Xenopus tropicalis: one gene and its partner. The protein of the gene in region 1 purifies or fractionates together with the protein of each later gene. This does not show direct contact. Links are inferred from orthologs where the notes say so. Each region holds a gene or a part of one and is shown on either strand. Other genes may lie near its edges.

What was found.
Region 2: the proteins of parva (region 1) and rsu1 purify together in Homo sapiens (affinity purification with mass spectrometry; 3 studies listed by BioGRID and IntAct, counting the BioPlex papers as one, with this or other methods). This does not show direct contact. The link is inferred for Xenopus tropicalis from reciprocal best matches to the Homo sapiens genes PARVA and RSU1.

The regions. Positions count from the first base shown.
Region 1 is NC_030680.2:6,469,531-6,473,183, forward strand, and holds part of parva (alpha-parvin), read left to right. Parts: intron 1-820; coding exon 821-936; intron 937-3,653. UniProt on the Homo sapiens protein: Plays a role in sarcomere organization and in smooth muscle cell contraction. Required for normal development of the embryonic cardiovascular system, and for normal septation of the heart outflow tract.
Region 2 is NC_030682.2:28,758,853-28,762,505, reverse strand, and holds part of rsu1 (ras suppressor protein 1), read right to left. Parts: intron 3,550-3,653; coding exon 3,431-3,549; intron 2,079-3,430; coding exon 1,996-2,078; intron 1,741-1,995; coding exon 1,626-1,740; intron 1-1,625. UniProt on the Homo sapiens protein: Potentially plays a role in the Ras signal transduction pathway. Capable of suppressing v-Ras transformation in vitro.

The DNA of each region.
Region 1 (3,653 bases):
ATGGGTTACTGCTACCGGGCAAACTTGCTGCCTCACGTTTAAGATAACTTTTAGTATGTTACAGAATGGCCAGTTCAAAGCAACTTTTCAATTGGTCTTCATTATTTATCTTTTATAGTTTTATCATTATTTGCCTTCTTCTTCTGCCTCTTTCCATCTTTGAAATGGGGGTCACTGACCCCGGCAGCCAAACCCTATTGCTCTGTGAGGCTCCAGTTTTATTGTTATTGTTACTTTTTATTGCTTGTCTTACTATTCAGCCCCTCTCCTATTCATATACCAGTTAATCTCTCAAACCATTCCATGGTTACCAAGTTAAACTGGACCCTAGCAACCAGATAGCTGCTGAAATTCCAAACTGCAGAGCTGCGGAAGAAACAGTAAAATAATTAAAAAGCTACCAATAATAAAAAATGAAGACCAATTGCAAATTGTCTCAGTATAGCACGCTCTACATCACACTAGAAGCAGCAGGAAGGGGAGTGTACTGGCCTGTGATTGGACAGCCCTGCACACATGATCAATTATAAATCCCAGTCGGCTCTGGGAAGGAGGGGCAGGGGGGACAAATATTTTCCAAATACTTTTTAAACACTCAGAGCCTGTGTTCTCCAGCCCACCAGAACTGACTGACCAATCAGAGCTTGGCATGTTGATGACACAGAGTAATCTGCCCTATTGGAACACAGGCCCTGGCGCAGCTGCACCCCCAGCCGCCTTGGTAGCTCTGACGATTGCTGGGAATATTGGGCCTTTAGGTGCCCGTATGGCAAATGGGGGAAAAATCAACTTAATCTTCATTTTTTTTCTTTTATTTCAGCAATCCATGCAAAGTCTGTGGTAGCCATCCTTCATCTTCTGGTTGCCCTGTCACAGTATTTTCGGGCCCCCATCCGACTACCCGATCATGTATCAATTCAGGTCGTCGTTGTGCAGGTAACGTCAATGTTTGGGCCTTAATATCTGAAATTCACTATGTGGCACATCAGCTGGGTGCAGGGCAGGCATTAACCCTTCCAACACTTTCCCCTGTCTCTGCCCCTATATATTAGGTACCTACCTAGTGCTACCAACCCCTATTTCTGTAGGGAAATGAGAGCAGGGCAGGCAGTAACCCTTCCAACACTTTCCCCTGTCTCTGCCCCTATATATTAGGTACCTACCTAGTGCTACCAACCCCTATTTCTGTAGGGAAATGAGAGCAGGGCAGGCAGTAACCCTTCCAACACTTTCCCCTGTCTCTGCCCCTATATATTAGGTACCTACCTAGTGCTACCAACCCCTATTTCTGTAGGGAAATGAGAGCAGGGCAGGCAGTAACCCTTCCAACACTTTCCCCTGTCTCTGCCCCCATATATTAGGTACCTACCTAGTGCTACCAACCCCTATTTCTGTAGGGAAATGAGAGCAGGGCAGGCAGTAACCCTTCCAACACTTTCCCCTGTCTCTGCCCCTATATATTAGGTACCTACCTAGTGCTACCAACCCCTATTTCTGTAGGGAAATGAGAGCAGGGCAGGCAGTAACCCTCCAACACTTTCCCCTGTCTCTGCCCCTATATATTAGGTACCTACCTAGTGCTACCAACCCCTATTTCTGTAGGGAAATGAGAGCAGGGCAGGCAGTAACCCTTCCAACACTTTCCCCTGTCTCTGCCCCTATATATTAGGTACCTACCTAGTGCTACCAACCCCTATTTCTGTAGGGAAATGAGAGCAGGGCAGGCAGTAACCCTTCCAACACTTTCCCCTGTCTCTGCCCCTATATATTAGGTACCTACCTAGTGCTACCAACCCCTATTTCTGTAGGGAAATGAGAGCAGGGCAGGCAGTAACCCTTCCAACACTTTCCCCTGTCTCTGCCCTTATATATTAGGTACCTACCTAGTGCTACCAACCCCTATTTCTGTAGGGAAATGAGAGCAGGGCAGGCAGTAACCCTTCCAACACTTTCCCCTTTCTCTGCCCCTATATATTAGGTACCTACCTAGTGCTACCAAACCCCTATTTCTGTAGGGAAATGAGAGCAGGGCAGGCAGTAACCCTTCCAACACTTTCCCCTGTCTCTGCCCCTATATATTAGGTACCTACCTAGTGCTACCAACCCCTATTTCTGTAGGGAAATGAGAGCAGGGCAGGCAGTAACCCTTCCAACACTTTCCCCTGTCTCTGCCCTTATATATTAGGTACCTACCTAGTGCTACCAACCCCTATTTCTGTAGGGAAATGAGAGCAGGGCAGGCAGTAACCCTTCCAACACTTTCCCCTGTCTCTGCCCCTATATATTAGGTACCTACCTAGTGCTACCAACCCCTATTTCTGTAGGGAAATGAGAGCAGGGCAGGCAGTAACCCTTCCAACACTTTCCCCTGTCTCTGCCCCTATATATTAGGTACCTACCTAGTGCTACCAACCCCTATTTCTGTAGGGAAATGAGAGCAGGGCAGGCAGTAACCCTTCCAACACTTTCCCCTGTCTCTGCCCCTATATATTAGGTACCTACCTAGTGCTACCAACCCCTATTTCTGTAGGGAAATGAGAGCAGGGCAGGCAGTAACCCTTCCAACACTTTCCCCTTTCTCTGCCCCTATATATTAGGTACCTACCTAGTGCTACCAACCCCTATTTCTGTAGGGAAATGAGAGCAGAGCAGGCAGTAACCCTTCCAACACTTTCCCCTGTCTCTGCCCCTATATATTAGGTACCTACCTAGTGCTACCAACCCCTATTTCTGTAGGGAAATGAGAGCAGGGCAGGCAGTAACCCTTCCAACACTTTCCCCTGTCTCTGCCCTATATATTAGGTACCTACCTAGTGCTACCAACCCCTATTTCTGTAGGGAAATGAGAGCAGGGCAGGCAGTAACCCTTCCAACACTTTCCCCTGTCTCTGCCCCTATATATTAGGTACCTACCTAGTGCTACCAACCCCTATTTCTGTAGGGAAATGAGAGCAGGGCAGGCAGTAACCCTTCCAACACTTTCCCCTGTCTCTGCCCTTATATATTAGGTACCTACCTAGTGCTACCAACCCCTATTTCTGTAGGGAAATGAGAGCAGGGCAGGCAGTAACCCTTCCAACACTTTCCCCTGTCTCTGCCCCTATATATTAGGTACCTACCTAGTGCTACCAACCCCTATTTCTGTAGGGAAATGAGAGCAGGGCAGGCAGTAACCCTTCCAACACTTTCCCCTGTCTCTGCCCCTATATATTAGGTACCTACCTAGTGCTACCAACCCCTATTTCTGTAGGGAAATGAGAGCAGGGCAGGCAGTAACCCTTCCAACACTTTCCCCTGTCTCTGCCCCTATATATTAGGTACCTACCTAGTGCTACCAACCCCTATTTCTGTAGGGAAATGAGAGCAGGGCAGGCAGTAACCCTTCCAACACTTTCCCCTGTCTCTGCCCTATATATTAGGTACCTACCTAGTGCTACCAACCCCTATTTCTGTAGGGAAATGAGAGCAGGGCAGGCAGTAACCCTTCCAACACTTTCCCCTTTCTCTGCCCCTATATATTAGGTACCTACCTAGTGCTACCAACCCCTATTTCTGTAGGGAAATGAGAGCAGGGCAGGCAGTAACCCTTCCAACACTTTCCCCTGTCTCTGCCCCTATATATTAGGTACCTACCTAGTGCTACCAACCCCTAT
Region 2 (3,653 bases), on another chromosome or scaffold:
AGGATAGAATAGTTTTTTGTCTGCTGGGGTCAGTGACCCCTATTTAAAAGTTGGAAAAAATTAAAATAATAATTAAAAATAAAAACAAATGAAGACCAATTGAAAAATTGCCAAGAATAGGCTGTTTAATAACAGACAGAAAGTTAACCTGAAGGTGAACCACCTATTTAATTTATTTGTCTTTACATGCATGGCAGAGCTGAATGCCACTCCAGCCACAAAGACCAACTGCATGGTAGGGGACAAAGGCAGAGGCTACCTGGAAGGTACAAAGGGGTTGGAGAAGGAGAGGCCTGTGACTTTCATATTAGGGTTGATATTCATAGCCAAGGTTACAGTGGGTAATGCCCTGTGACTAAAACATAGGTGTGAATGCCCATTCTGGAAATATGTGTATCCTGTACACTGGGGCCTTGAAGATTTGAGAAAACTGTTTCCCCTTTGTATGAACATACAAAAAGAAACTTAGGGTTAGAAAAATAAAAGTTTTATTCCAAAAAATATGCCTGGATGCATATGCCTTGCATAAACTCTTTGCTCAGTCACCCTCAGCGGCTGTGTATATTCCCCACCAACACTCAATAACGCACACTTTTCATGCCCTGGGGGTCAGTCAGCAAATGCAAAAACATCCAAGGGGGTGAACAGAATACACTCTGAAAGAGTTCCTGTGTATAAAGCCTCATAAGTTAATACAAAACATCTGAATACAATGGAGTTTCAGAATAATAAAAACAGTCACCTGTGAACCTTCTATGTTAAAGAGGTGGTTTACCTTCAGGTTAACTTTCAGTATGTTGCAGAATGGCCAGTTCTAAGTAACTTTTTAGTTGGTCTTCATTATTTATTTGTTTATAGATTTGGAAACAATTGCCTTCTTCTTACTCTTTCCAGCTACAACTGGGGGTCACTGACCCCAACAGTCAAAAAACTATTGCCCTTTTAGGCAACAATTGTATTGTTAATGTTATCTTTATTATGTTATTAGTTATCTTTCTATTCAGGGCCTCTTCTATTTATATTCCAGTGTCTCTTTCAAACCAACTGATTGCTATGGTAGTTTGGACCCTAGCAACTGGCTGATAGCTGCTGAAATTACAAACTGGAGAGTAAAATAATTAGGAAAACCACAAATAATAAAAAAAAAAAAATGAAGACCAATCTCAAGTATAACTTTCTACATCATACTAAAAGTTAATTAAAAGGTAAACAAACCCTATAATGCTCTATAGCTAAGCCATTGGCCCAAGACAACATATCTGTGTAATATAACATAAAGAAAAGTTGGATGTGCATATTATGCTTAAGAAACAGAACAATAAAACAGATATCTGAAGTCAGTCCCAAAGTAAGGGAAACTTTGGGGCAGATTTATGAAATATTGATGTGGAGAATCCTGAAGAATTCCCAGCCCTTTGACATTTTCCCTATTGTAGAAAACTTTCTCAGTAGTCTGGAATTTTTTAACAGGTAGACATATTTATCAGAATCAACACCTATGCCTGTGCCTCAGGAAGCGGGCTGCTGGATGTGATAACCATTGAGAGAAAGACATTTCTGTGCATAAAGATTTTAAAATTCAGTTCTTATTTAATGCACTGGATACAAATGGATCAAAACCTTACCAAGTTCAGGGGGCAGGACTGTTAGCCTATTTCCTTGTATATGTAGCTCTTTAAGCTGGGTGAGATCCCCTATTTCCTTAGGCAATGATATCAGGTCATTATCCCGAAGACTGATCTAGAAAGGGAAACAAAAACACAAAAGTTGCCATGGCATTAAATGGGAAATAAAGCGCGACTCAGCTATTATTCCGTCGCTCTCTTTCAGAATTCCAATTTATTTACACAAATGTGCTGATAGACAAGCAGCCGTGCTGGGTCAGTAGCTTGTGCTGAAAAATAAAGCACACTACTTCTTAAATTGACTAGACTCCAGTCTTACAAGGGCTGCGAAAGTGAATTGATTTTCCAGGAATTTAGATAAATTACTTACTATCTGCAACTTCGTGAGCTTCCCGATATCTGGCGGCAGGATTTCAAAATCGTTGTCACTTAGATAGAGTGCGCGCAGGGTGGCTGCAAATTAAACAGCAATATATAAACAGGGCGGTGTGTAGCCCCAACCACTTCAGCGGTGATCAATAAAAAGCAGTCAGCTCTGATTAATAACCCCGACGTGGTGAAAAGCCTTTGACACATCCAGGGCTCACAATAATAACAGGCAGGTCAGGCGCAGATTTAGTGGCTTATGGCACGGCTTGTCCGTACAGGAAAACATTTATATCCAAAGGCCTGACACAATTAACAGTTTCTTCTGCTGCGAACGGTGCCCTTTATTTTGTGGCTGTCACGTAGAGGGTTTCCTTTACCGGCGGTGCTGTACTTTTATAGACTGATCTAAATATTACTGTCGTAAAGAAGTCACTGTCTGTTTCATACAGGTATGGGATCCATTATCCAGAAATCCCTTATTCAGAAAGTTCTGAATTACAGGAAGGCCATCTACAATAAACTTCATTATAAGCAAATAATTCTAATTTTTAAAAATAATTTTCCCTTTCTCTGTAATAATAAAACAGTACCTTGTACTTGATCCCAACTAAGGTATAATTAATCCTTATTGGAGGCAAAATAATCTATTGGGTTTAATTAATTTTTAAATAATTTATTATAGACTTAAGGTATCCAAATTACGGAAAGATCCCTAATCCAGAAAACCCCAGGAAAACCGCAGGACCCCAGGAACATTCTGGATATAAGGTCCTATGCCTGTACCAGGTATTTACTAGTGAATTTAACATAAAATCCTATATATTTTTAGAACAATATTTTTCCATGTGGGATTATAGAGTACTCGTGGGATGTGTCAGTAATCTATTTCTATTAAACACGCGAGTATAGCAAGCTGTACATTTGTTCTGTGTAATTAACTGTAAAAATCCCCACTAAATGAGCTGCTCCCATAATGTGTGCATTATTATCGTATAGCAGTAGTACTGTGGACCATAGAGGTTTTATGCTTGCATCTGCTCTTCTTTAGCGCTTTATTTTACCAGCTCTCTTATCTGGAAACCTGTTATCCAGAAAGCTCTGAATTATGGAAAGGCCATCTCCCATAGAGTCCACTATAATCAAAAAATTCACATTTTTAAAAATGATTTAAATTTTTTCTGTAATAATTAAACAGTACCTCTTACTTGGAGGCATCTCAGCTGAATGAATTCATATTGGTGGAAAGACAGTCCTATTGGTTCTGTTTTATGTTTAAATATTTATTAACAGCCTTAAGGTATGGAGATCTAAATTATGGAAAGATCCCTTATACAGAAAAGCACAGATCCCAAGCAGTCAAGATAATAGTTTGTATACCCATACTTCAGCATATACACAGGATTAAATGTCTTACAGGCTACAGTGCTATTTCTTACTTAGATAAAAGAAATTTCCGGGCAGGGAGTTCTCATTCATGTTGTTGTAGGTCAGGTCAAGGACTTCCAAAGCAGGCAAGGAGCCAAACCCACGTGGTAAACTGTTTAACCTGTTCATACTGACCAGCACAAACACAGGATTAGATATGTTTAAAACATAAGATTTAAATAAATAAAAATATACATAAGATTTCAAAATAGCAGACAATTAGGGGGTGATAAA